7 linked regions of the Coturnix japonica genome follow. The protein of the gene in region 4 interacts with the protein of the main gene of each other region in a pairwise test. Links are inferred from orthologs where the notes say so. Each region holds a gene or a part of one and is shown on either strand. Other genes may lie near its edges. The genes, in order: MED31, TANK, TRAFD1, HTT, WAC, DNAJA3 and MKRN2.

Region 1 (4,269 bases), on a different chromosome or scaffold from region 4:
AAGGTGCACTAGAACTGGAGTCTCCAGTATCTCTCCATTATTTTAGTCATTTAGTGCCTTACTCAAGTACCTGAAACAGTGAGCGCTGTACCTTTTCCATACACTGTAACTTAATACCTTCAGTAACTACAAGGCTAGAAAACAGGGAATCCAATAACAATATAAATACATACACGGAGCTGATTAAAATAACTTTTATAAATACTAGATTTCATTAAAACAAAAACTAATTAATTAAATAGCTCTTTCCAGAGCTCATTTGAAGTAAACAAAAAAAATTTCAATAACTGAGTTTAAACATTAATTAAAAAAATGAAAAAAAACGATTCTTTGTGTAGCTATCAACAGGGCAAAAATCACTCTCAGAATGTTCTTAATGGGCTGAAGTAGTTTTGTCCCGTGATGTTCAGTAATCTTGCTTTATGCAGATAGAAGGTGCAGATAAAGGTTGCAAATGGAAAATTCCATGCATATGTCAAGAATGAAACGTTCTTTAATTGTGCCTATCCCAGACTACAGGAAACAGGAAAATTTATACTGCATATAAACACAGTGCATGTTTTGGCTGCAGGGAGAAATCAAATATGCACATGCTACTTTACAGTGCATAAGAGAAGGTAAAAATCATTAAAATGCAGAAACCTGAGGGCTTTTAATACTTACTTCAAGTATTTTGCATATTCAGGTTCTTTCCAATACAGTAAATATTTAAGATAGTTTACAAAAGCTTTGTCTTTGAAGTATCCTCTTTGTGCAAGAACTGAAATAAGAGACAAGGAATTTTTTACAACTCAATAAAAAAAAAACACAAAGGGAAAAATATATCTTAAGTCAACACTCTAATACAAGTTAAGCATAGTGAGTTAGCATATAACTTTTATACAGCAACAAGGATGCGATGTCTTCAAAAATAGGAACTTCTGACATCAAAACTGTCAGGGAAAACCAAAGAAATTAAGAATTCCACCTGAAACTATTATAAGCATTAGTGAAATGTTGGTTTCAGATATGAGTACTTCTAAGATTGAAATGTAATTATTATTATTTATTTTCTACTACAGATGTGCACTTATTCTCCACCAGACAGTTGTGTTTTATTTCAAGAAATAATCATTTCACATTTTAAAGGTGTCATCTCCTCCCTCTTCTACCTCACCTTTGAAATTCGGACAAATTAAATTATCCTCAGACTACTTTTTTCCTTAAAGATCTCTTCCCTTTTCTTTGTTTACCCTTCGCCTCTGCACACACACACACACACACACACACACACACAGTTTACCATTACACGTAATCATTAAACTGTTAAATAACATTAACTTCTCAGGATCCCTGACATTAAGTACTCACAGTTGAGGTAATTGGGATTTGCTAGGCACTGAACAAACTCCAACTCCAACTGGAACCTAAGTCGATTTCCTGTATCATCTGAATACAAGAGAAAAAAAAAAAACAGTAAAAACTGGACTTACATGGCAGATTTAAAAGTAAGTTTCTCAACTTGAGCCACAAAAATAGAAACGTTTAGAGAGGAGATAAAGCACCAAGAGCCCACAAGTATGGGCTCATCTAGCAGTCTTTTCTATTACATGAATAAGTGTTGGGCCCATGTTAATACATGTACTATTGTTTGTTTGTTTTTTTAACAACTAAAAACGATGCAAATAATGGAGAAATGCTCTCTGACACTTTATGTAGAATATATGAAAAGGGAAGGGAAAGGGGCCTGCTTTTAGTGCAAGGAAAATATAAGAAGGCAAGAAAAGAACACTACCAGCAGCTCACTGAAAGCCTCCTTGCACATAATTTAAGAAATGCTTACCGTGAGGCTGCTTTTTGTTTTGTTTGTTTTGTACAGAGATGTCTCAGTTTAGTGAGAATCCTGCAGTGTTCTCACACTATTGGTGTACAGTAGGCACTGATGACAGACCCAGGGGTCAGCACAAGATTCTGCTGTCCTATGACAAAAGGGTGAGGGAGCTGGGCTTGCTCAGCCTGGAGAAGGCTCAGGGAGATCTCACTCTGGTCTTTCAGCGTGGAAAGGGAGCTTATAGAAAAATATGTTGACTTTCCACCCTGACTGAAAACAACAGAACAAGAAGGAACAGCTTTAAACTCAAACAATAGGAAACTCAGGTTAGATGTTAGGAAGAAATTCTTCTCCGAGGGGCGGTGAGGCCCCGGCACGGGCCGCCCCTCTCTGTGGGGGCCCCATCCCTGGAGCTGCACAAGGGAAGGCTGGAAGGGGCACCGCGCAGGCCGCTCTGGCGGGAGGTCCGATCTGTAAATAAAGTCCCCTCCATCCAAACACTCGGGGTCTATAAAAGATTCAGCTCCTCGACCACAGATGCAACGTGGGATGTCCGCTGCCATGGCGTCCGGGCAGGTAAGAGCCGCGGTGTCTCCATGAACGTCGCGAAGGGCCCCAACGGGGCCAACGGCCTGAGAAGGGCCAAGCCGGGAGGGCAGCGCAGCAGGACCGCCCCGGGCCCCTCCCGAGGAAAACGATTCGGAGCCTGTCGGCCCATCGCTCCCGAACCGCCCGAACTCTGCACGGCAGGACCACCGACGCTCTCCGTGGCCCGGAGTCGCTCGCCCTGCCCGAACCGCACCGCACCGCGCCGCTCACCTGCGTCCATGGCGGCGTGCTGGGCTCCGCTCCCCGCCCGGCCTCAAAATGGCGGCGGGAGCGCCCGCTGTCGGCAGGCGGGAGTTAGGCGGGAGGCGCAACGAGGCAAGATGGGAAGGTCTGTGGTGGTGAGGAGCTGCGTTAATGATGCGAGTTGTGTAGAAAATGACCTTTTGAAATAAACTAAAGTTGGAGCAACTTTTTTTCCCCTTGTCTTGAAAGAGAGCTGTTACCAGACAGGCAGTACGATTGGAAGGTACCTGTAGGAGCAATGTTCTGGGATGGATTTTTTCCTAGGCATGTGTGTGCTTTTCTTTCTTCCCTTTCCCCTTTTCCTTTTTCCCTTTTCCCTTTCCCTTTTTCCCTTTTCCCCTTTCCCGTTCCCTTTCCCCTTTCCCCCTGGCAGCTCATGCTGAGCTGATCTCACACAACCTCTGCAGTTTATTTATTAAGAAGTTATGTCGTAGTGAAACCAGTTAAACAGATGCGCCAGGGGTGCAGAACAGCACTATGCTATTGCACCTGGAGAAGAGTTCAGCACTTAGGTTGCAGATTTATTCCTAATGCTGCATTCATGTCTGGGGTCACACACTGGATGTTCATATCTTGGTTAAAACAAAGACTGGTGGGGTTTAGCACTGTCAAGCTACCTGAGTTCCATTGCTGCTATGATTGCATTATTAGGCACTTGTGTAACAGTTTGCACTATACAGGCTCAACACGAATCCTAATTCTTTTTTAAAATTTGTGATTTGTTAAACTATTTTCAGTGTCTCAGCATTTTCCTGTAGTGCTATCTCTTTCTATGTAGTGTAACTGTTCCCCTCCAGCCCCAATAGAAATTAGGCTATAAGACCACCTAAAAAAAGACTTCTGCATTGCTTTCCTTAATAAAATAATTTTGTGTTTTGTTTCTTTTTTCCCCAAGGTTTTAGTGGTTGTGGAGTACTACCATTACTATAACAGAATTAGCAGGTCACTCCCCAGTAAATACAGACTTTTGTCTAAAAGCAGAGATCAAACATATCCCACGCATTGGCAGTGCTATTCTGGAACACGATGTATCTCCCAAGACTGACTTCAGAGGAGAGAATCCTAAGAAAGGCTTGGTCACATGAATTAAATTACTACGTAGGTTTGCCAGAGTAAAGTGCAAGAACGCAATTCTTGGCCATCAAAACTAGGAACAAAATTGAAAGTTGGAGTCATATTACAAAAACTAAGAACATTCTCTAGGAAAAGCTGGATTTATTTATGCTTTTAAATATTAGCTTAGTCAGACTTTCAGGGAAGAGGTATTAAGCTGTGTGTTTGAGCCAAGAATTTTCCTTTTTATCATCATCAAATCATAACATCACTGCCTCAGTTTCACTTTTTATAGGAGCTGAACTGCTAACCCTATTCTCTGTTTGAGCACTGGTGCTGAACCCTTGTTTTCCTAATGCATTTTGAGAGCATGCTCATAGTAGATCTAGATATAAAACAGCCACTAGCTAACAAACAGATCAGATAAGGTTTTCTACCCAAAGCAAATAAAGCTATTCAGAGTTTAAAATTACACTCCAAAAAGGGACACTTTGCTGCAGTAGTAATTCTAGACAATAAAATCAATGTGAGATGTCCCTATAAATTATATATTT
Region 2 (3,500 bases), on a different chromosome or scaffold from region 4:
TTATCCAGAAATTTGTTTGAACTAAGCCAATATTACTTTAGAATTGATTAAATATCCATCTCTTTCTCTCTCACAACATCCATCACCTATAATTAGATGCCTACAAAAAAGTTCTTAAAGTACTTTTCCTAGTGAATGGGACTTGGTTCCAATTCCTAATGAACTGGATTTACAGATAATATATGTGTAGATTAAAACAGTAGGGTTTTATTCATGTTACTTGCATACATGTCTTCTTATTGTATTTTCTTATTGTATTAAATTTAAAACAAAAAAAAAACAAAAACAACAACAACAAAAAAACAAAACTGTGAATAACTTGTTCCTGGGATTTTTACAGCATTTTTAGGGAGTTGTTCCAGTTCCATCATCCCTGCCACTGGTAAATCTCCATCAGGGAGCAATGAGATACCTGACTGTTTTTTTACTAGTGCAGATAAAACTTTCAAGTATTTACTACATATGTTAACTTATAAAATGGAAAACCCCATAAATGCAGTAGATTTGGCAACAGTAAGTTCTTGGAACTGCTCTCAGTTGCTGTAATAAATTTAGCTCTTTCCTTCTTTGTGGATACTAAATGTGAAAACTCAGTACTGTTTTCTTCGGGTGTAACTTAAAAAAAAAAAAAAAAGAAAATGACTGAAAAGAGCAGCAGATTAAAATAAGCACGGATATATGGATATTAGTGGACCTGGGGTTTTACAGACTACTGTTAATTGAAACTTGCACGGAGATGCATTATGTTTACCAGTATTCACAATTTGCGGGGGTTGTTTCAGCCAAAAGCATCTCTAAGAATGTTCATGATTTGAAATCAAGTCAGTAGTCTATTGATCGTAATCTAGGTCTTGTTTTAGAAATGAAACAGCTGCTTAAATGAATCTCTGCTCTGAAGAGCATTTTAAACAACACTCAGAGGAAAAAATTAAAGTTAAGTGCTTGCTTCAGCATTTTGCTGGATTCTTTCTATGTGGTGGTTCCAAGGCTGGAAATCTTACTGTGTCCTATTATTTTTACAATAATATTTTTAATGACCATTTACATAATTTGGTATTAAAAAACAGTAATTTTAAACACATTCCTGGAGGGATGTTTGAGTGTGTCTATGTCTAGAAAAAATTAATGTGCAATTTACACCAGCAATGTACAGTAAGTGGGCTCTTTTAGCTGAAAAGAAGTGGTGTGATTGCACTTAATTACTAATTAGCCAATTTAATTATATGGATTGCTGACCATAATGAAAGATGGTAAATCTGCTACCACTGTCTGATAAGCTAAACACTGTTTAAATATGGAGAGCATGAGGAATTGACTCCAGGAAGTTGCAGCTGGTTTAAATACAGGGATTAACCACTGTGAAAGCCACGTTCATTGTACAGTGAGTTACCATGGCGGGGGGGGATACAACAGATTCTAAGTATTTGACATGATAAATGTGTGAAAATTAAAACTCTTGGATTAGAATGGATAGCTAGAACTTCAGAATTTCATAAGAAACTACTTTCTAAAGTATTCTTACTTGCGTTTCCACATGTGATTTAAGCAATAGAGAAGAAAGATGAGCTAAAAAACTGGATGGTGCTCTCCTTTTCTAGGTTCCAGCCCTATGTAGATCTGATAGCAACTAGCTGCCATTCTGTCCGCTCTGCAGTCACAGCAGTATGCATTTGTTTTTCAGTTTATTCAAAACCTAATTTTCCTGGCCTTGTAATATAACTATGTATTTTATCTTGGGTTTGTTGCTAATGTTGAAGTAGCAAAACTTAATTTTTGACTTTGCTTTGATGAATTTCTTAATCCTGGGTATTATCAAGCCATATAACTGGCGTACGCTCAGGCTCATGTCCCCATGGTCTTCAAACAGACTTGCTGGCTTTCAACTGGCTCACTCAGGTAGCAAGAGCAGCAGCAGCTGCTGAAGCAATTTTAGCATAGCTTGCAGACTTGCCTGAGTGTATGGATGAATATTCCAATGGCCCTATTGAGTTCATTGCTGTCATGGAAGAAAGAATCCCAACACTGAGACTACCTGAGACATGCTTACACTAAAAGGCAGTCAGAGCAATTAAGTAACTTTGACCATGTGACATTGCTGTAGTTGTTTTGCAGTTAAACTGAAAATTAGATGTGTACCAATAAGAATAGAAATATTTCATATAACCTTTGTACAATAAATAATTATTTTAAGGTTAAAAACAATGGTACTAAAGATTTATGTACTAAGGCTTCTACAGTAAATATATATATATATATATATATATACGATGTTAAAGAAATGAATTTATGTCATACTGATATTACAGAACTCTGTTCATGGCATCATTTATCATTAATAGATATCAAAATATCAAGTACTTGCAAAGGTAGTATGTTTAGGAGAGTAAAAAAAATGTATATATTGCCTTTTTTAAGTGAGAATTTTCTCCAGTTAATGCCTCTGCCAGGCTTACGTTAAGTAAACCTAATATAAAGAGGGAGGTATATTTTTAATATAAATATGTACCACAGCATAATGTAATTCACATCATAAACCACAGCAGTAATCATTTTCTGTTTCTTTTAGCTCATTTGGCAGCCTCGGGACAATGATTTGCTGGCACAAACTTATACAGACTCTGAACTGAATCAGCGTGGAGTATGTGAATTCTGTCGAGAAGTTTTCCCACCATCTCTAACATCTAAGGAAGATTTTCTTCGGCATCTGAATTCCCACTTTAAAGTACAGTCTTAACATATGAGAATTCAGCGGGTCACTGTTTTTGCATCCATTTGGGTTTTTTATTATTGTTGAATAGATTTGCTAAGAATTTAAGAATTGAGACTTCTTGTAACAAGAACTAACTGAAATTATCAGATAAGCACATTTTTTTCATTGTCATTTGATGAGGTGAAATGCAACCGTAAGTCAGTACTGTAATTCACTTTACTGCTTGTCATGCTTCAATATTGCCATTGGGATTGTAGTTAAAAGCTTTTTTTTTCCCCCAGCTGATCTTTGCCTGAATAGGCTTGAAGTCATGATTATATTTATCAGGACAGATTTGCAGGATTAAGCCTTTAATCTGGGACAGAAATTGGTGTACAGCTAGGATTTCTTCTCAATATCCACTGATACAATTCTCTAATTGAAGGAATCGGGAAAGAGGGGTAGGCTCTCATTTTTAGTTTCTATTATAAGATTTGTTATAAAAAATAACAATTGTGTTGATGTATCTTTCCAGCATTAATTATTAGTTAAACTACTTTCATGCAAAATATTAATATGAAGGATGGAGTAAGAAAAGGCTAAAGTGTCCCTAAAGGTAAGAATACCAAAGATGGAAAAGTTTACCTTTCTTTCTAGTCTGCTATGAAGGATTGTTCAAATCTGTTATGGCTTAGACAAGCAAGGGGAAAACCTAATCACAGAAGTCTCAGTGACTTCAGTTCTAACCTGAATATGCAGAATGGTTTTCTCAATGCAGTTTAAATGCATTTAGTCAAAACGTTGCATTTTG
Region 3 (3,500 bases), on a different chromosome or scaffold from region 4:
TCAGACCTATAGCTGTTGTACCCAATATTATGCAGATCATCATATTTTTGTGGATCCAGAGAACTCCTTTTACTGAAGGAAGCAAAGGCACTTGCTGGGTTACAACCTGTCTGTTAAGCAAGTAACATAGAAAAGTTAGCCATCTCATTTAGCACACAGGGGTTTTAAAAATAATGCTGAGCAAAGATAAAATTACTAGACTTTAACTGTATCACTGAGCAAACACTGCACCTTTGTTCGGTCACAGTAACAAACAGGTCTTAACTGCAAGCTCCTAGATACAATACAAAGAAGTACTAAACCTGATGAAGAATCAGATCTTCAGCAGGGTACAGCTCCTCACAAAACTCACACGGCAACATGATCTCATCACCTGCAAAGCAATAATGGTTATATCCTCTACCATATAGAGCCTGGCTTCATTTGGATCAACTTAGATTCAAAATTCCTAAGCAATAAATTCCTGTACTGTAGCACAGAACAGCAACCAAAGCAAATGCAAAGGAAATAGTTACTGTAGTCCCACTTGTTGAGTTTTCTGAGTAAATCCATATCACCCAGAGACAGAAAAGTGTTTTGGGGTCAAATATATGATACAAAAGCCTACTACTGCCCCCACATAAATCCCTTCATACTATTTTCCCTTTCAAATTAATTTGGCACCTCAGGTCTCTCACAGGTGTTGAGAATAAACATGATAGGAAGGCAGCAAGAAAGCCTGTTGTTATGAATCCCTTAGCACTGATGGGCACAGGCACCTATTTTGCTTCTAAAGGTACACCAGTGTTTTCACTTAGAACTGAAGGCCTGGAGTAATATCAGTGCTTGTCCTTGCATTGTTCTGAACTGTTATGAGTTGAAAAGAATTTCTGGATGAACATATCAAGGTCAGAGCTCCACTACACCTTTTAGTTCTTCCTCCCCTTCTGTCTTGCTTTACTTCTGTTCAAAGAAGTATTACTGTTTTTGAGGGGACAGAAGATAACTTTTAAGAAAGAAATGGCATGCTTAATCTCCTACTATTAATTATTTAACAATTATTTAGAGGGAGTCTCAAAGAGCTTCACTTTGATCTACTTAGATGATCTTTGACAGTCTGCATCCAAGAATCCTCTTTCTCTCTCAGACTTAATAAGACAGCATTTATACTTACGTTTCAAGTGGTTTGAAGTGTTCAAAGACAATAAAGAGTCATAAGGAAAGGTATTTGAGTTGTCTGTTTCATTGGGGCAGGAAGATGGCACAGATTCTTTGGCATAGTGGTTTTCCCAGACGTCCCTGTGAATCTCTGCCGCAGAATTATTGCGAGGATTATTCTCATTCTGAAGGCTAAGAGCCAACATGTGGTCTAAATTGGCATTCTGCTCTTCATAAAGTGAGTTAGTGTTTTTATTTCTCTCCAGCTGCTCCAGTCCATACTCTTCAAAAGATGAATATAAATTTTAGGTAACGTTAAACCTGCAACAATTACTTAAGCAAATTAGTCTAGTTCAACCAAGAGGGTTTCACGTGCGGACACTCATGGAGTTCAGTATTTCACAGCCTAGGACACTTCCTGTATCAAATTAGAAGGAAAACAGTCATCCTGCTTCTGTTTGTAACAACCAAAAAGAGGAGAAAGAAGAACAGAAAATGTTGTTCCGCTTACACAAACATTATGAAGTTAAGGAGAGAAGTTCTGTATCCTACCTTGTGAACAAGGCTCAATTCTAACACGCATCTACTACTTTCTGTGAGGCTGGAACTTTTCAACCTTGTCTCTTTAATGTGTGAGTGGAAAAACAAATTCCTTTTAATGATACTACATTTGACAAATGGGTATTATACACATACAGAAGAAAATGATGAAATGTTTCCTCGTCGTAGAGTTATACATAAAAACAAGCAATCAACAACAAAAAACCCACCACATTTCAGAACAGGGCCCAAGACTGAACTGATGATGTCTAGTGGAAGGCTGAGCTCCTCCCCCATGCTGGCATGTTTCAAATATCTCCAGCATTTTATTCATCTTGATTATATCAGAAATTCAAGAAAACTTAATACACATATGAAAATCTTACTAGAAGATAATTTAGAACTCAGTACAAGTGGACAAGTTATAGTCCTCCAAGCATTTAGCTTCATTAACTAACCCCAAAAGTTATTTCTGCAAGCCAGGCAGTCTTCTATGGCAAAGACTGCAGTGTAGTACTTTCCAGTGTTAAACCCTCTGAGTAGCCCACAGCAGAAAGCAGAGCACACGTTCAGCAGAGAGCTCATGGAAAGGGCATGTCTTAAATGTGACATGACCCTCTGCACATGGAGGTGGGAGATTAGAGGCTTATGAGCAAGCAGAGGCATTTATAACAGTCTCAGCTATGTCCAGACAGGCTGTTATTGCAGAAATGCTCAGCACTTCATATGTGAACCACATACAGATCTTACCTAGCCTTCTACTTAAAGGAAGAGTGGAGCTGCTAAATAAAAATCAAAAGGATTTAAAGTGAGCAAACAATTCCAGCATCATTTTAAAGTTAGGTACTTCTTGAGGTGAAAGCCCAGTGCATTGCCTGTGCTGTCATCTCACCAGCTACCTCAAAAGTCCTCCATTTAGGAGGCTTATACTTTTGCAGCTTTGTTCCACAACAAAATAGTGCCACACTCATTGCCTCCACAACTTTTCTTACTTAGTATCACATAAATCTTTTACTTGGATCACCTGGCAAATGGCAGATTAAAAACAAGTTATTACTTTCATCTATACCTTACCTTGATTTTGATTTCTCTGTGTTCTTGAAACATTTCTTCTTCTAATGTCCTTAAGTGTTTTGTCTCCTACAGAGTCGCTATAGATCTGCCTTTCTAGTGCCCTGGGCATTCTCCACAAAGGCACAGCACAGTTATCTGATCTTAACTGGTTTCTAATGTCTCGAAGGGCATGCAAACCTGCATCCTCTGCCTCAAAGCGAGGCACTGTTTTGCTTACTCGCTTCACCTCTTTCCCACAGACTTGGGGATGCTCTTTTAGATCTTTTACCATTACGTTAAGGCCACAACCACTACACATCTCAGTCCTAGCTCCACAGTAACTTTCATGATCCTGAAGCTTATTGAAAGTAAGCTGGATGTCACAATGCTGGCAGACTGCAGGACGCAAAGGGCACGCTGATGTCTAAAAAAAGAAGGAGGGATTATTCTTAACATATGGAAGACGGAGGCAAAGGTAAATGGAGGTTCTCACTTTACTTGAGTTGAGCTTGCTATTGTTTCTTTAGCTAGATACAAAGCTGCACTGAAGAGCAGCCTGAAATAAAATACTATACAAGAAATAAAAGAATGATACACTGTATCACCTGTGTAGTCAGAAAGCTGTCAGCTGAAGCACTACCAACATTCAAAACATTCCCTTTAAACCTGCAATGCTTTAACAGCAGCTTCACATAGTGCTTTTTAAAGTTAATTTTTAAGAAACATTCTTCACAACCACATTTAAGTACTGCTTAAAGACTTATTAGTGC
Region 4 (3,976 bases):
ATAATTTAAAGTGACTAATATTACTAGCTTGGAGATTTCACTTGGAGAAGTGTGCAAAGGGTAAGGAGATGAAAGCAAAGCACTGTGGTATGAGAAACATAATATGAATTTTGTTCATGATTTTTCATAGGATGCAGATGAGAGATGGCAGCAGGTTGTATTTACTGCTGATGTAGACTTTTATTTCGATGAAGCTATAATTAGAAATAGAGTTTCCTGTTCAGAATGCCTTCATTTCACCTCTGTGAATTCAGATCCTAGCTCTGTTACATGATTTTAATAGCAGCGAGACAATCCAGCAGCCCAACTGCTTTGTTCTGTTGGTGTGAGATACAGGAAGATCTATCAGTTCTGTGGAGCTGTTTCAATGAGATCAATCCTTCTTTGTGGCTTTTGTTTCCAAACATTTGTTTCTGTAAGTCTTAATGTCTGCTTGTGTGTACCTCATGAATCCACATACAGGTAACTTTCCTCATGCTCCACATACGTCCAAACCACCACAGTTCCTTCCATTTATAGCCATGTTGACTGTTAAATGTGTTAGCTCCAGAACCACTCGAGTTAATTGTTGTATGAGCTGTTTTCCTGGATGTTCTACCATTGTTACTCTTGAAATAAAAGCAGAACACTGCCACATCTCTCAAACACACCTATTATTGTCTTATGTGCTTTGTTTAGCAGCTCTTTCACGGTAGCCGGGGTAGGTAAAGTTGTCATGAAAACAATTAAAATTACAAGTTGTTGAAATAGAAATGATTGCTGATTCTGTTGTCTCAGCAGCTATAGGTACATTAAAGCAGAGGTTGTACTTCAATCCATTATTTTTAGTTAAAAAAAGATCTTAATACTTGAATTCCGCTGTCTCTGAGAGAAGCAGCCTTTAAATAGGTATGTTTTATATGTGCTTTAAGAGGGCAAAAGCAGGTCCAGCATCACGAGGCTGATGCTGAGCGGCCAGCGGGTCCCCTGCCAAGCACTAAGTGCTGGTTCCTGTAAGTGTTTCCCCTTTTTCCTCACAGCCCAAAATAACGCCTTAGTGCCGGTAGCGCTTGGCATCAGCTCAGCGCGATAAGGGCTGTGAGGGGATGGATGGATGGAGGCTGAGGCGCCCTTAGTGCCGCCAGCGGGCGCCCAACCCGTGCTGGGCGGAGCAACCCAGGCAGGAGCGCGGGGGCTGCTGGGCCAACCCCAAGATGGCGGCGGGGCAGCGGGGCGGAGATCGCGGCCCCGAACGGCGGCTCCCCGGCTCGGCTCGGCTGTGAGGCGCCAGGCGGCCTGTGAGGAGGGTGTGAGGGGGAGAGGAGGGACAGGCGGAGAGTCGGGAGCGGGAGGAAGGACGAGGGCGCTCGCCTGTGAGAGGGCGGGCCGGAGCGGCGATGGCCACCATGGAGAAGCTGATGAAGGCCTTCGAGTCGCTGCGATCCTTCCAGCAGCAGCAGGTGCCGGCCGTCATCCCCGAGGAGCCGACGCTGAGACCGTGAGTGAGCGGAGCGGGACGTGGGGTTGTGGCAGCGGGCGGACGAGTCCGGAGGTGCCGCCTGTGTTTGTGGCTGTTGAGGTGGCTGCAGGTCTCTGGGTGAAGGTTTGTAAACGCTGCAGCCTTGTGAACTTAAGCCTTGTTTGACTCAACATGAGCCAGCAGTGCGCTCTGGCAGCCAGGAAAGCAAATGGGATCCTGGGCTCCATGAGGAGAGGGGTGGTCAGCAGGGATAGGGAGGTGATTGTCCCTCTCTACTCGGCTCTTGTGAGGCCCCATCTGTTGTACTGTGTCCAGGTGTGGAGCCCTCAGTACAAAAAAGACATGGAGATTTTGGAAAGGGTCCAGAGGAGGGACAGGAAGATGATCAGGGGGCTGGAGCACCTCCCCTATGAGGACAGGCTGAGGGAGTTGGGTTTGTTCAGCCTGGAGAAGGTTGCGGGGTGACCTCATTGCAGCCTTTCAATACCTGAAGGGAACTTACTCCCAGGAGGGGAGTAAACTCTTCGAAAAGGCTGATAATAGCAGGACACGGGGAAATGGTTTGAAGTTAAAAGAAGGAAGATTTAGGTTGGATGTTAGGGGGAAGTTCTTCACTAGGAGAGTGGTTAGGCCCTGGAACAGGCTGCCCAGGGAGGTTGTGGATGCCCCGTCCTTGGAGGTGTTCAAGGCCAGGTTGGACGGGGCCCTGGGCAACCTGATGTAGTAAAGGTGTATGTTTGGTGGCCCTGCCAGGCAGGGGGGTTGGAACTACATGATCCTTGAGGTCCCTTCCAACCCGGGTCATTCTGTGATTCTGTGAAAAGATCTTAAGTTTAGCTTAAAATCTAGGATTTGTCTGTCTTTAAGGAATGGATGTAGATAACTGCTTATGGCAGGCTTTGCTTGAAGTCTTGCGTTGTCACGTGTTTTGAGCTCCAAGAGGAAATAACACAAATGTTTCTGCTATCTCTTTGTGTCCTTAGATATTAGGGTTGGAGGCACTGAAAAGATGTTTGTTCCTATCTGCGCAATGCTCTGGTTTCAAGTCAGGGAACCTGCAGCTTTGCTGGAGGCCAAGGAGCTGTTCAGTGCCCCAGTGCTGCCTGTCGGCTTTGCTTTCTCTAAAAATAACTTTTATTGAGCAGGTGAAAAGGCACTAAGGACTTTAGTGCACTCGGTAAGTGAGTCACACTGTTGCTGTTTCTCCAGACACGAGGGAGACAGGAGGAACACAAGGGCTGAGGAGCAGGTAGCTTCAAAATTGACAGTTTCAGGTGCTTTTGGCAGAGCTGATCCACAATGGAAGCTGGGCTCTTGGCCACCTGCTCCCACAGTACGGTTTGAGACAGATGCCAGCTGGATTTGCCACGGTTCATACTGCTTGGACACTCTCACCTCAAACACTTTCATTGTGTCATTGATACTCTTGGGGACACAACAGATGAAAAACCTTATTTTCTTCATAAGCCAATTGTTTTCATATACCTCAGTGTTTACAGGGACTAATTGCTCTTTTATTTTTTGATTGTACTATGATTTTGCATGGCATGGAGAATAGGTGGACGTCTATTTCCAGTCTTTACTGTGCATAGCAGAAGAAAATCTAAGCAGATATTGCTAGGATAGATCATCTTATTTGAAAAGAAAGGCTTGAAAATAATTTGTGATGCTTGCAGGGGGATGTTATGGTTGATTTGGGGGTTTGCATTTAGTCATACCAGAATCAAAGCGCTAAAAAATCAAGCTTGTAATTGTCCTAGTTGACTTTGTTTTTTCCTGTTTAAAAATAGACTGGTTGTTTTCAGAAAGCTGATAGTATTGCATGCCCCCAGGAGCTTTACCAATTCAGAAAGGGCACTGAGCTCCATAAAAGCCTATGAAACGATATTGTGCCAATCTTCGTTGGAGTTTCCTGAATTGTTAGTGAAATACCAGGTGACATCTTGAGCTGAACTCCTGGTGTTGGTTGTGTTTTCCATCCGATGGGTTAGAAAAGAGAAATGCCTTCTTGTGTTCTTTGCACATAGGGACCAGCGTTCATCTTAATTGTGATCCTGCACAGATAACCCTTAAATATTTAGCAGTGCTGTATGCTAACAAACTACTCTCTCCTGATGTGTAATATTTTAAGATCACGGAGGCTGGAGCTTAGAGATGGGAATTGTTTGCACAAATGTCATCGTGACAATGAATTTTGAGATCTTGATAAAATAATATCCTGGTTTTACATTTATTATTAAGGTATTGATTGAATTCAAACATTGGTAATGTGAGGGTTCTTTTCTCTCCTTTCCTCAAGGTTTTAATCAGCAGTAATCACTTATTGTGGTTTTAGTGTGTGTTACAGGCATGTCAGGTTATGGCCTCCTCTCTTTCTGTGGTTGGTTTGGCCTTCTATGAATGCTCAGATTGAGCTCTCTGTCATCATTTTGCTTCTACAAGCTTCTGCTGAGGCACCTTCTTGTCTTCCATCTCTGTTTTTTTGCTTTTTTGGACTCCTGAATTTTGGTTGGAGTT
Region 5 (4,268 bases), on a different chromosome or scaffold from region 4:
GCACCATAAATGTACACGCGGTATGGAACTAATATGTTCTAAAGGACACAAAGATATTATATTTGTTACTTTAATAAGTAACAATACTGCAGTGATAAATACACCTGTACATCCCAGGCTGTTTACTTTATAGAGAACTTTTCCTGGTGCTTCTTTGTCTCAAGTTCTGTCCCTGAATACTTTATAACCCAATACAAAGAACAAATAGAATACTTACAAAACAGACTTCCAAACCCAGTAACAAACTTTTTAAACCTCCAGCTGTTACTCTCCTTTACCAAAAGGAAAACTCTACTCTTAGGCGTTTTTAGGAGGTAGAAATAGAAAATAACACCAGCTTAAAACTTCTGAGCACACTATTATCATCTGAATTACACTGTAAAAAGATAGGAGGCTACCTGACTAAGCTTCTGCCAGGAGATATTGTACTAAGTGCTATCTTTGATTTTAACATTGTTAGTTTACAGCAACCAGATCTAAAGCTATTTTTTATCATTCTCAGAGTGTAGCCCAGGAAGCACATACCTACATTACAGAAATACTAAATTATTTTTACTAAAATAGCAACTTAAACCTTTAAGATTGTCAATCTCTAGAACTCTAGAATATGGTTTTATCTTATTGAACGTTGCAGTATGCAGAACTCTCATACCTGTAAAAATAAGACAGCTAACAGGTGTTACAATGCCTGCTTCCAAGCAAACATGGCTTTTGGTTTCACAGCAGTCTTCCGAGCATCAAAGAACATCGCTCAACGCAATGCTCCCTTCACCTGAGTGACAACTGTTTAATTTTATGAGGAAACAGTAATCGCTTAAAGAAAGGTTAATTAAAGACAACTCACCACCATCCCTCTCTCTAACTCTGTGAGTATGCACACTTTTTGCTTTACTGTGCCCTGTGTTGTCACTGTATTTGTTTTCAGGGCTATCAGAGCGCCGCAACATTTTATTTGGTGGTGAAGGATCTGTGGTGTCTCGCATCTTGTCATGACGATGATCACCACCACTTGGGTGACTCTTGGATGAGTACTTAAGAGCCTGAAAAAGATCACAAGAAAACAGGCATTTTCATCAGATATAGATACAGAAAGAACATTTTAACATCAGTCATAAATTTCAGATCTTTCTTCTAAAACACTTTTTGAAGTAATTAATTTTTATTTCCCATTTAAATAACCACTATTCATCCTCTTAGTTTTAATTACCTACATTAGAGCAACAAGTTCTGTAATTAGGACTGAAACCATTTGCTCTCACCACGACATCCAACATAACATTTGCTGTTAAGATAAGCCTAATTTCTTCCTATTTTCTCAGTGAAGGACTGCATACTTTAAACGGTAAGTGGGGCACAAAACCTCTGACACTCAAAACAAGCACAAGTGCAGCTGGTACTAAAGAAATAAAGAGACAGTTATATTGAAACAGAGTGAACTGTAAATATCCATACTGTAATGGAGGCCACTTCCTTTTGCATCAACGTTAAGCTTCTGCAGATAGACTTCAGTACTAGCAAGCCCATAACAGATACAATAAAAATCTAGAATTTGGGGGGGTATTTAAGAGGGCAGAACATAATGTGACAATTCATTTTGGAACATTTACCAAAACTAACAAGTTATGTCTCTTTTTGATCTGCTTGATTTTGCAGAGCGAGCTCATGAGTGGCAAGTGTTTTATATTACATGAACTGTCACTGACAGCTGCCTCGGACCATCAGATGACACTTCACAGTGATAGAAACACTCAGAAATGTAATAAAATGGTTTAGTTAAATGCCCTAAGAAGAGCAGTATCCCTACACACAGCGTTCCCCAGACTCACACCCTCCTTAAGGTATAATTTTATTTTTCTTATTTTTATTCTTTCGTATTTCTCATAGGCATTAGACTACGGGACTCATCATACTTAAATTGAAGTTACTGTCAAAAGCCAGAGGATCTGATGTTTTTGAACACCCCCAGCAGCTGGCAACTGTAGAGACTGGCAACTGTGGAGACGAAGCCCTACTGACAACCCCAGTTCAGGGTCTAAAATCATGCCCTGCTCAGGTTACAGCCCGCAGCAGCAGTTTTGGGGAGAAGGGCCTCGGGGAGGGGGGCGGGGGGCGAACAAGCCGCCTTTTGTTTTTAGGAGGACAACGTTCCCCTTCCCCCGGCTCTCGGCTCCTCCGCCCGTGACCCGGCCGCGCTCTCCCGCCCCTGTGCTCGCACCTCCCGTCTGCTAGGCCCCGGCCCCGCGCTAGGCCTCTCCTACCGGCCCGGCCATCGCAGCGGCGCGGCGGCTCCGTTCCCCCGGCTGCGGGCCGGAGCCTGTTCCCTTCCCCACCTCTCGGGCCTTACAAGGCACCGCGGGCCGGGCGGGAGCCGCGCGGGGCAGCGCGGCCTGCGGCGGCGGCCGAAGCCTGGGCTGGAGTAGCTCCCCCCCCACCTTCCCTGCCCTGCTCCTCCTCCTCCCGGGCCCGGCGGCCGGCGCGGCGGTACCTGGTAGGGCTGCGAGTCCCCCCTGCGGTCGTGACAGCTGCGGAGAAGGCGAGAGAAAGAGAGAGAGAGGCGTTAGTGAGGGCCGTTACCGGGCGCCGGGAAGGGGCCCAAACATGGCGGAGGCGGGGGGAGAGCCGCGGGGCCGAGGAGGGGATTTACCCATCACTGAGTCTCTGCTGTTTCCTCGCATACATTACCATCAATGCCCGGCCTGTGTGTGTGAGTGTGAGGGGACCAGGAAGGGACGGCCGCGGCCGGGCCTACGGGCGCCGAGGGGGGAGGAGGGGAGCGGCGCTCCGCCTCGCCGCCGACCGGGGGCAGGGAGGGGGCAGGGAGGGAGGGGGCGGCTCGGCAGCTGTGCTGGGAGCGGCGCTCACGGGCCCATCTCCGCCGCGCGCAGCCTGAGGGGAGACGCCGGCAGCTCGGCCCCGCTGAGGCGCTCCGGGAGCGCGGACTCCGTCGCTGCCGCCGCTGCCGCCTCCTCCCCCCGCTGCGCCCGCCGCCGCCGTCGCCGCTCCTCCAACTACATCCGGGAAACTCGGGCGACGCCGCGCTCGGTTAACGTCGGCTCTTTTCGGCTCTTTCCGACGCGCTCCGTCCCCTCTGTCCCCTTTGCTCTCGGGCGACTCTGCCTTCGGCAAACATCGGCAGTCTCCGCCGAGCCCAACGCCCTTCAGTCTCTCCCTTCGGCAAACATCGGCTCGTTCCGTAGCTCTCCCCCCCCCTCCGGCCGGCCCGCCTCGTCCTCCACTCCCGAACGCTACCTGTCTTCGGAAAACATCGGTTATTTCCGTAGAGAGGCTTTCACGCTCTCGTCGGGGTGACGCCGCCTTCGGAACCGTTCGGCTATTTCCGTGACCTGCGCGGCCGTTGGCGGGGCGCGGCCGATTGGCCGAGGGGAGCGAGCGGGGGCGGCAGCGGCAGGCAGGTGGGGGCGATGGGGGGGGACCGCGAAAGGAGCCGAGGTGGTGCGGGGGGGATAGGAAAGGGAAGGTCTCCCCTCACTCACCTCCCCCCTCCCCTTCCGCCCGGCGCCTTGATGTATAGGCAGGAGCCATTTTGTGTACGTTGGGTTCGGCGAGAGGCGCTCGGTAGGGAGTGGTTGTTAAAATGTCCCTGGGGAAGCGGCTGGCCGGGCCGCGTCCCTCCTTCCCTCTCAGCTCCCCCTGAGGCGATGGCGGAGCTCGGGCCGCCTCACGCGTGGAGGGAGCGGGTGAGCGGGACGGGCAGCGCTGCCCTGAGGAGCTGGGAGTGATCCAGCCCTGCTGGGTTGGATGGGCCCACGGGCAGCATGAGCTGCTGGGTGGGTGCTCTGCCCACGGCATGGTGTTGGGACTGATAGCCTTGAAGGGCCCCAAACCATGCAATGATACAGAGCCTGAATCTTGTCCTGCCTCCTTAATGAAAAGGGAAGTGACAAGCCCCCCTCAGAACTGGCCTGTAGCAGTACATCTTTCCCCACAATGCTGTGTTTAAACATAGCATCACACTATAACTATAGTTTTTCTCTCTGTTCTTGTTTTTGTGTTAACGTGCAGAAGGCTGCAGCTGAGAGGACACCTCAGGAAGCTCACGGACAGACAGGAGCAGAGGATGACCCAGCAGGGAGCTGTTCTTCAGGGTTACAACAATGAGCTCGTTAAGTGTATTGAAGACTTGTGTATGCAAAAAGAGGAGCTGAACAAACAGATCCAGCAAGCAGAAGAGGAGAAAAGCAGACTCCAGCATGAAATTCAAACCCTCAATGAACAGTTGGAGGGGGTGTGTGAAAACCTGGCTCAGA
Region 6 (3,307 bases), on a different chromosome or scaffold from region 4:
GTATATCTGGGACAACCAGAGATGTGACCAAAAAATTACACCAAAAAAATTAGAATCTGTGGAAGTGCTGAGAGGAACCGTGTGGAGCTGCAATAGAACGTCATAGGGCACAACTCAAGGAATGAATTCCTTGGCTGACCAGCACAGCATAAGCTGTCCAAAGAAGATTCAACACAGATCTTGATAAAGCAGTGAGAAATCCTCATAAAATCTTCCTGAGCAAGATTTTATTGCAAGAAGCTTCAGATCTCACAGAAATCCATATTACTTACTGAGGAACTTTTATCTTCACGTGAATGTAGTGGTCTCCGTAGCCGTAACTGTTAACCTTGGGAATGCCTTTCCCACTAATTCGAATTCTCTGGTCTGGCTGAATACCAGGTGGTATCTGTGAACACAGAGGTGTCACGTTCATTGTTCCATTGCATGCATGTATGTAGTTAGCACATGTTTATAACAAGTATTTCACTAATGAGATTCAAAATAAGATGGCAGATCTGGTATAATTGTGCAGCTGGACACGCTCAGGGGTGAAGTCAATACTGATGGAAAAGCTTTTTCAGGACAGAGTAAAAGAAACTAGCACAGTGTAGTAGATGTTGGATGGGATGTGTCCAGCAATCCATCCAGCCCCTCCTTCCCATGTCCCCACACAGTGAGCTGTAAAGCAGGTGTGACCAAGGCAGGTCACAAACTACCTGACATTCAATCCTTAGTGAGTCTGAAACCTGATCCAGATGGACTCAGAAGGCTCTGATGTCCCACACTGATTTATGCCAGAGCTCTTCCACGTAACGTTACTTACTGTGATATTGATTGTCTCATACAAGCCTTGACACCTGGCTGTCCCTCCCAGCACAGCCTGTGCTACCGAAATAAGGAGCTCTGAATGGATATCTGCTCCATTTCTTCTGAACACTGAGCTTTTTTGAACCTAGAAGGTAGGTAGTTCCACAAAACAGAAAGCAGAACAATACAAAGTGAACAAGGTAAGGTAAGCTACTTTGAAAGATCTCAGCAGAAAACATAGAAGAAAGCAGTAGTCATGTTCTTTACCGTCCATGGTAATGACTAGTTTAGCTTAATGTTCAGTCTTTTAGAACAGCACAGATCATTACGTAACTGTAATTAGCCAGAGATTTAGGAGTACGTCTGCTTATCTAAGCAACTCCCCCCCACTAATCCTGTTTGTTAGTTCATTACAGTCAGTGCAATACTGCAGACAAAGATGACACTGTCTTGTCCAGGGCCCTGAAAAAGGGAAAGCCAGAGGAGGAGGGCAAGAACTTTAGTAGCAGCTTTGAAAACTGGAAGAGAATTAAATTCTCCTGCAGCACAAAGGTAATGGAAAAAGGTTCTCATTGACAGAGGTGCATATTGTTACCTGCAGGAGAAGAGGGCCCCAGCTACAAAGAATGTGCAAAGCAGCACTTAATGCAAGTCTGCAAAAGGACACTTGACCAGCCTCGTGTGCACATTCCTGCAGCCCTCCTGGGCGCAGAAAGCTTCTTCAAATCTCCACATCAAACTCTCAAGGCATCGAGAACCTGCTCTGTATTTTGATGCACACGACCATAAAGGCCTCATCCTGGAATGAGCAGCACAGCTCCAGAGGAGCAGACTGAATGTTACAATGCAGACCTTCTGCAGGCTCATGAGGATCACGTTACCTCAGCTGTTTCAAAGGATCACTTGCTCTTTCTCCTGCCATCCCCCATTCAGACTTCCCACAGTTGTGAAGGGAATAAATAACAGCCTTAGTAGCAGGAAGAGCTTGTGCTGTAACAATACATACCCGGAAGGTAATGAAAATTTCCTTCTTGCCTACAGGCATCCGAACAGTCTGCCCATCCTCAACACCTGCATTAGGAAGAGGGGGGGAAAAAACAAAGGGAAGTTATCTTGTATTGTGATCCATGTGCTACTGGAATTCGTACAGCTCTTCTGCTCGCATCCCTCCCCATCCCACCTCAGCAGCACCTGAGCAGCACAAGACCTGCCAGTGAAAAGCAGAGCAAACCCCAGTCCAGGAGGTGCAGCAGCACACAGCTGTGCCTCAGAGGTGACTGCTGCTGCCGAGCAGAGGGGCACCCCTACACAGCTTCACAACCTCAATCCCTACACAATTCATCCAGGAAATGCATCAGACTGAGCCACGCTGGGCAGCCTCTACAAACTACTGGGAAACCACCAGCTGCCACCCAAGGCAGCCTCGAGGCATCAAGTCTTCAGTCCCACTGCTCCTGTTTTTGCTTTTTCCCTCTGCTGACAAAAGCAAACAGCAAACTCTTCTGAGCTAAGCTCAGGCTTGCAAGATTCCCATCCCCACCAATTTCATCAAGAGCAATGAGAAATACAAGCTGACAAAACCTTTGCAAAGCTTAAATCTTCAAAACTTGTCTAGAAGGATCCACTCAAGAACCAGAACTTCAGCTCCAAAAGGGACAAACATTTTTACCTACTATGTATAAATGCATGGTCAGAAGGTTTCTCATTGTGCACACTTTCAGTGACCAAGTTATCAGCCTGCTTTATTCTTAGGATAACTTCTCCAAAGTAAAACAACTTTACATTGCTTTGACACCCACAGCTGGCAGAGAAAGCCTCGCTTTATAGGTAAGCGCCTTGCTGTCAGCCTAGTGGAAATAACTACGGTCACTGTAACAGAGAGCAGCACACAAACACAACACTAACCAGCCGGCACAGGAACTATCACTGTCTTCTTCTGTTTGGTTTGCCCCGTTCCTCGACATACCACACATGGTGTTGTTATGATGGAAGCACGACCTCCACATCTTCGGCACGTAGATCGCATTACAAAGGGGCCAGTGTTTATTGTTTCCTAGTGAAGAAAACAGGTCGTACAAATGATCACACAAACATTTGCTATCAAGATGGTACTTCTCACTTTCACACCACCGACAGTGATTGACCAAGAATATTTGGGCTCTCTGAAGCTTGATTATTTCTTTACTTACTCTAAGTAGCACGTAACTTCTCATTCAGTGGTTACCCTAAAGTTATCCTTGTCTTCCTCCTCTCCCCAACCCTCAATTCAAAGTATTCTACTTAAGTCCCAAGTAATTTCAGAATTGTTATATCACACACAGTCCCAGATGACCTTGTCCTGCTTTTAGCTTGACAGAGCACATTTCCAAATATTCAACATCAAGTCCACGTTAACCTGGCTTCACTCAAGAAGCTGATGATGTTATTAAGAAACTGTGGAAGGGTGACTTGTGCCAAGAAATACAAGTACAGCAGAACCTGTCTCTTAAGAAAGACTTACCATGCCAGTGCCATTGCA
Region 7 (4,233 bases), on a different chromosome or scaffold from region 4:
TATCCCTAAGTCCCATCTAATTCAGGGTCCAGTATGGATGCTGCACTCAGGATGTTACTCTGTTTATCAGTAAGGCCTCAGTCATCAGACTCTAAGTTTTACCCTAGATAAGGAACTGGTTTCTTATGATGGGCTTCCCTACAGCAGTTCTCACACCGTACTCAGTGATGTACCAATTCCTTTTACAGCACTACAACTGAGACCTCCCGTCGGCTACAAAAGACATCTTCCTAAAAGAGTCCTAGAGTATTTGGGAAGAAGGCAAGTTTCCCATAAGAAAGGGGAAGTCACTGTAAAGTGCTGTCAGCATCAATGTTACCACTGGGGCCCTGGATGCTTGTCATTCCACAGATAGACAAACTACAACAAAACACACCTTTCTATTTTTAAAAAATAAACCAAATGTAGCACTAAGCACACGCATCTCACACTGATTTCATGTTAACATTACCATCTCATGAGCCTTCCTCTGTTCTTGGTCAAAAGGGTGAAGCACTTGCAGCCCGCATATTTCACACACGTCCCCGTGCAGGTAAAGGCAGCGCTCCCCGAAGTGACACGCTCCTGCTGCAGCGTAAGGACACAGCTGCTCTCCATCACCAAAGGAACTTCCAGCTACTGGATCTTCCAGCCCACTGCAAATAGCTTCCAAATACGAATGAGGCTTCATTTCCACATTATCACTTTTGTCACTGCAACACACCACATCATTTGCGGCACTGGCTTTTTCCTTCTCTTCATTCAAGCCACACAGATCTTAAGAAAGAAAAATGTAATATTAACAACACACCACAAAACCTACATAAGATGCTCCCTATATTTTCTTTTCAATTAATACCAGTTTTTAGCTTTACAAATGTCTCCTAAATCAAATCTTCTCAGCCCTAAGCCTCTTTCACTCCTATGTTACAAGATCTCCAGCACCTCTTTCCCACTGTCCTTGAACTCAAGTTAAAAAAAAAACATGAAAAATGACCCAGAACCAGAGGACAACATCAAGGATAAGCACAGTCGCCTCCTACTCACTTCTGTCCCTGAGCACAAGCGTTTTCTTCTCCCGTTTGCCACTCTCCCGCAGCTTGCTCTTGGTTGCAGGTGTGCTGTGCTCAGGTGCAGGGCGAGGGCTGAGCAGCGCTGCTGATGCCATAGCAGGAGGCACAGGAGCTGCTGCACCCCCAGAGGCAGGGAGCCTGATGTGGTCGTACCTGTAAGAAGCACAGTAAGCGCTGGAAAAGCTCAGCTCAGGGCACAGTGGAAGGACGGCTACTTTGAATGTATTTATTTACACAAAGGGTTGTTTTAATGAGTTGTCTGAAATGTTCAGTCTCTTTCAAAGCCAGACTGAAAGACTTCTCAGACTCAGCAAAATGAAAGCATGTCAAGATCTTCCTCTTTAGAGAGGCCTATCACAGCTGAAAGAGCATCATTCACGTGCACATTAGATCAGGTCTTTGTCATCCTCACGCAAAGAGCTTTGTTGACATTTCTCTGAGAAGCAAAATTAAAAAGCCGTGCAGTAAGGATTGATGTGATCTCATTCTCCCTGTCCAAGCAGGGACATAAAAACTTCCTGCTCCCATACCACCATGATGTCGTGTCTGCACACAGGACAGGAAAGGTTCCAAATGACTATGGAAACATGCTCTCAGCAGCAGAACAGAAGCTACCAGTACAGTACAAAGTTTCTCTTGCAAAGCCACAAACATCAGCAGCCCATCCGCATCCAGAGCCCTCAGCTGTCCCAACACTGCTGGAGCAGCACATCAGCACTCTGCAGCTGCATACAGTGTTAATTCCATCTGAGCAACCTATGAGAGCTGCAGAACTCTAAGTGCAGCTGGATGCAGGTCTGACAGCACAGGCAGAGCCCAGGGAAGGAACATAATGCAGAACTGCAGCCACACGACACCCTGACACCTCTGGCTGCTGCTGAGTGCCACAGACACAGGACTCCATCTGCCCCAGCTCTGCAGCACACTGCTGATGGCACACAGCATTTACCAGAGCACCTGTGCAGGAGTTTGAACCAAAAGGCTGTAGCATAAGGCATGGAACCATTGCCCACAGAGCTGAGAGGAGCACAAAGAACACCCGCTTCACTTTAAGACAGAACTCTAACTCCTCTAACCTCAGCACCGGGATGTGCAGGAACAAAAGCAGCAAAGCACTGCTGGAACACTACTGTGCCTTGTACAGCCCATAGCACACCTCACAGCCTGGCACTGCCACATGGCATTCTGCTTTTAGCACCCAACGCTCCTCAGACGAGGTGAAAGCACATAAAACCCGATGCCTCTTTTCCACAGGACAAGGCCCAGTCAAACCATAACACTATGCCCATGTACGCTGGCTTCAGGAGGGGCAGCAAAGCTCGCTGCTGATTTATTACTCTGTCGTTTTGCCACTCAAACACCTCATCTCTCCTCGAGCTTCGCGTCCCCCCAGCTCCTCAGAGCACACGGCCCGGCTCTCACCTGCAGCGGGCTCCATAGGCGCACTGTCCCTTCTGGTAGTACTTGCAGATGGTGGAGGACTTGCTGCTGGACAGGTCGTGCGAGAACAGACACTTGTTCCCCTCCCGGCACACCCCCTGCACGTAGTACCTGTGGAGAAGCACCCGGTATAAATGGCTCCTCTCTGGGAGGCGCCTTCCCGCGCACAGCGCCGCCCCACACGGCCCATCCCGGCCCCCCGCATGTTGTTCTCCCGGGACCCCCCGCCGGTTCGGCCCGTCCGTGTCGGATCGGTCCCGGCCGTGCCCGGCGCTCACCCACCTGCACGTCACCTGCCTGGTGCTCATCCTCGCTCCGTTCTCCCCGCCCGGCCGGTTCCGCTGCGCCGCGGGGAAGGGGCGGGGCCGACACGGCCACAATTACCCGACGCTCCGCACCACAGAGACGCCGCACGGCGGGATAGAGCGTCGGCCATGGAGGCGGCCGCCATCCTGTACGTGCGGCACTGCGCCGCCGCCATCTTCTGCCGCCGCGTTCCCCCGCTGTGCCCCGTGTGCGGCCGCCCCCTGCGCGATGCCGGGCTGCTCAGCGCCCCCGTGAGCCTCCAATGTCCCTTCGTGCACGGACACCGGCAGCACCGCGCCTTCCTGCTGCGGCCCACGGCCGGCAGCTTCCTGCGGTACGGGACGGGACGGGGCTGAACAGCGGGACGCGCACGGCTCGTGTGTCACGGGCCATGTTTCTCTTTCAGAGAATACGACGGGAACTCGGATCTGCACGTGGGAATATCCAGCGCTCGGGGTAAAACGCATTGAATATGGCTGACAACCTGCTGGCAATGCTGCCTCACACACACAGTGCTGCACACACAGCATCACAGAATGACCCGGGTTGGAAGGGACCACAAGGATCATGTAGTTCCAACCCCCCTGCCCGGCAGGGCCAAGTAACACAGCAGTAAGAGCTGGGAGCTGCTGCCTGCAGGAGCACATAGATATCAACACCCACATCAACACCCACATCAACACCCACGTCCCATTAGTGAGCTTGCCTTGCAGACATCCGCACGCTGAGCGAGTCACAGCCATGTGCTGCTCTTCTCCCAGTTCCACTCAGTGCTGAGGAGCTGCACAGGACAGAGCTGACAGGTGACCTGTATTCGTGACAAACAAATAACAGCCAGGCAGCAAACAGTTTGGCTTATTAAACTGATATTGCTAATTCTGAAGTCATCCCTAACTAAAACAAGCAAGCAAACACTACGTTAGCAGTCATTACAGGTTCCCAGAGCACAGCAGCCCATCAAATGGATGTTTCGAGTGAGATACTGCATTAATAGAAAAGTGGTTTGAATAGGAAGTGTCAAAAAGAAACCTGGCAGTCCTTGTTAAGAGATCGGAAATTACCCTGTAACAATGACAACAGTTCTTTGATACAAGTAAACATTGCACTTCCTGCTCTAGCTCTAGGCCTCTGAGGGGAAGCTATGGCCTAGTTAAAAGAGTGGCATTAAGAAAAAGACCAGTAGCTTTCAACACTTAAAAATGCACACGAATCCATTTCCTCTGTACTACCTGCCAACCTGTTGCTCTTTATTTCCAGGAGTGGTGTATCATTACAATGAAGAGGGCGTTCACAGAGATGAAAGCGGATGGGAGCAGTGCATTAGTGTCCCACTAGTACAGCCAGACATGTTTGAGCTTCTTCAGCAGTGGGATCAAATCCTGGAGGAATTTTCTATGGGAGAGGAGTGGCTTCCTCACAGGTATGTAGCTGAACA

What was found.
Region 1: the proteins of HTT (region 4) and MED31 interact in binary tests that used the Homo sapiens proteins (3 or more experiments, as listed by UniProt). The link is inferred for Coturnix japonica from reciprocal best matches to the Homo sapiens genes HTT and MED31.
Region 2: the proteins of HTT (region 4) and TANK interact in binary tests that used the Homo sapiens proteins (3 or more experiments, as listed by UniProt). The link is inferred for Coturnix japonica from reciprocal best matches to the Homo sapiens genes HTT and TANK.
Region 3: the proteins of HTT (region 4) and TRAFD1 interact in binary tests that used the Homo sapiens proteins (3 or more experiments, as listed by UniProt). The link is inferred for Coturnix japonica from reciprocal best matches to the Homo sapiens genes HTT and TRAFD1.
Region 5: the proteins of HTT (region 4) and WAC interact in binary tests that used the Homo sapiens proteins (3 or more experiments, as listed by UniProt). The link is inferred for Coturnix japonica from reciprocal best matches to the Homo sapiens genes HTT and WAC.
Region 6: the proteins of HTT (region 4) and DNAJA3 interact in binary tests that used the Homo sapiens proteins (3 or more experiments, as listed by UniProt). The link is inferred for Coturnix japonica from reciprocal best matches to the Homo sapiens genes HTT and DNAJA3.
Region 7: the proteins of HTT (region 4) and MKRN2 interact in binary tests that used the Homo sapiens proteins (3 or more experiments, as listed by UniProt). The link is inferred for Coturnix japonica from reciprocal best matches to the Homo sapiens genes HTT and MKRN2.

Annotation. Positions count from the first base shown.
Region 1 is NC_029534.1:8,576,323-8,580,591, reverse strand, and holds the start of MED31 (mediator of RNA polymerase II transcription subunit 31), read right to left. Parts: upstream 2,801-4,269; 5' UTR 2,640-2,800; coding exon 2,630-2,639; intron 1,429-2,629; coding exon 1,351-1,428; intron 761-1,350; coding exon 664-760; intron 1-663. UniProt on the Homo sapiens protein: Component of the Mediator complex, a coactivator involved in the regulated transcription of nearly all RNA polymerase II-dependent genes.
Region 2 is NC_029522.1:25,234,229-25,237,728, forward strand, and holds part of TANK (TRAF family member-associated NF-kappa-B activator), read left to right. Parts: intron 1-2,566; coding exon 2,567-2,734; 3' UTR 2,735-3,500.
Region 3 is NC_029530.1:5,458,046-5,461,545, reverse strand, and holds part of TRAFD1 (TRAF-type zinc finger domain-containing protein 1), read right to left. Parts: intron 3,155-3,500; coding exon 2,752-3,154; intron 1,421-2,751; coding exon 1,154-1,420; intron 374-1,153; coding exon 303-373; intron 111-302; coding exon 1-110. UniProt on the Homo sapiens protein: Negative feedback regulator that controls excessive innate immune responses. Regulates both Toll-like receptor 4 (TLR4) and DDX58/RIG1-like helicases (RLH) pathways.
Region 4 is NC_029519.1:74,630,080-74,634,055, reverse strand, and holds the start of HTT (huntingtin), read left to right. Parts: upstream 1-1,176; 5' UTR 1,177-1,376; coding exon 1,377-1,477; intron 1,478-3,976.
Region 5 is NC_029517.1:13,929,218-13,933,485, forward strand, and holds the start of WAC (WW domain-containing adapter protein with coiled-coil), read right to left. Parts: upstream 2,801-4,268; 5' UTR 2,705-2,800; coding exon of another isoform or gene 2,688-2,704; 5' UTR 2,686-2,687; coding exon 2,645-2,685; exon of another isoform or gene 2,639-2,644; intron 2,523-2,638; coding exon 2,486-2,522; exon of another isoform or gene 2,405-2,485; intron 1,041-2,404; coding exon 845-1,040; intron 1-844. Other genes in the region: Sjoegren syndrome nuclear autoantigen 1 homolog, read left to right, coding at 2,688-2,704, 4,024-4,268.
Region 6 is NC_029529.1:11,215,033-11,218,339, reverse strand, and holds part of DNAJA3 (dnaJ homolog subfamily A member 3, mitochondrial), read right to left. Parts: coding exon 3,290-3,307; intron 2,843-3,289; coding exon 2,695-2,842; intron 1,861-2,694; coding exon 1,796-1,860; intron 935-1,795; coding exon 806-934; intron 389-805; coding exon 273-388; intron 1-272. UniProt on the Homo sapiens protein: Modulates apoptotic signal transduction or effector structures within the mitochondrial matrix. Affect cytochrome C release from the mitochondria and caspase 3 activation, but not caspase 8 activation.
Region 7 is NC_029527.1:3,307,016-3,311,248, reverse strand, and holds the start of MKRN2 (probable E3 ubiquitin-protein ligase makorin-2), read right to left. Parts: upstream 2,801-4,233; coding exon 2,775-2,800; coding exon of another isoform or gene 2,696-2,774; exon of another isoform or gene 2,681-2,695; intron 2,604-2,680; coding exon 2,475-2,603; intron 1,206-2,474; coding exon 1,027-1,205; intron 757-1,026; coding exon 452-756; intron 1-451. Other genes in the region: MKRN2OS (MKRN2 opposite strand protein), read left to right, coding at 2,696-3,132, 3,205-3,254, 4,056-4,218. UniProt on the Homo sapiens protein: E3 ubiquitin ligase catalyzing the covalent attachment of ubiquitin moieties onto substrate proteins.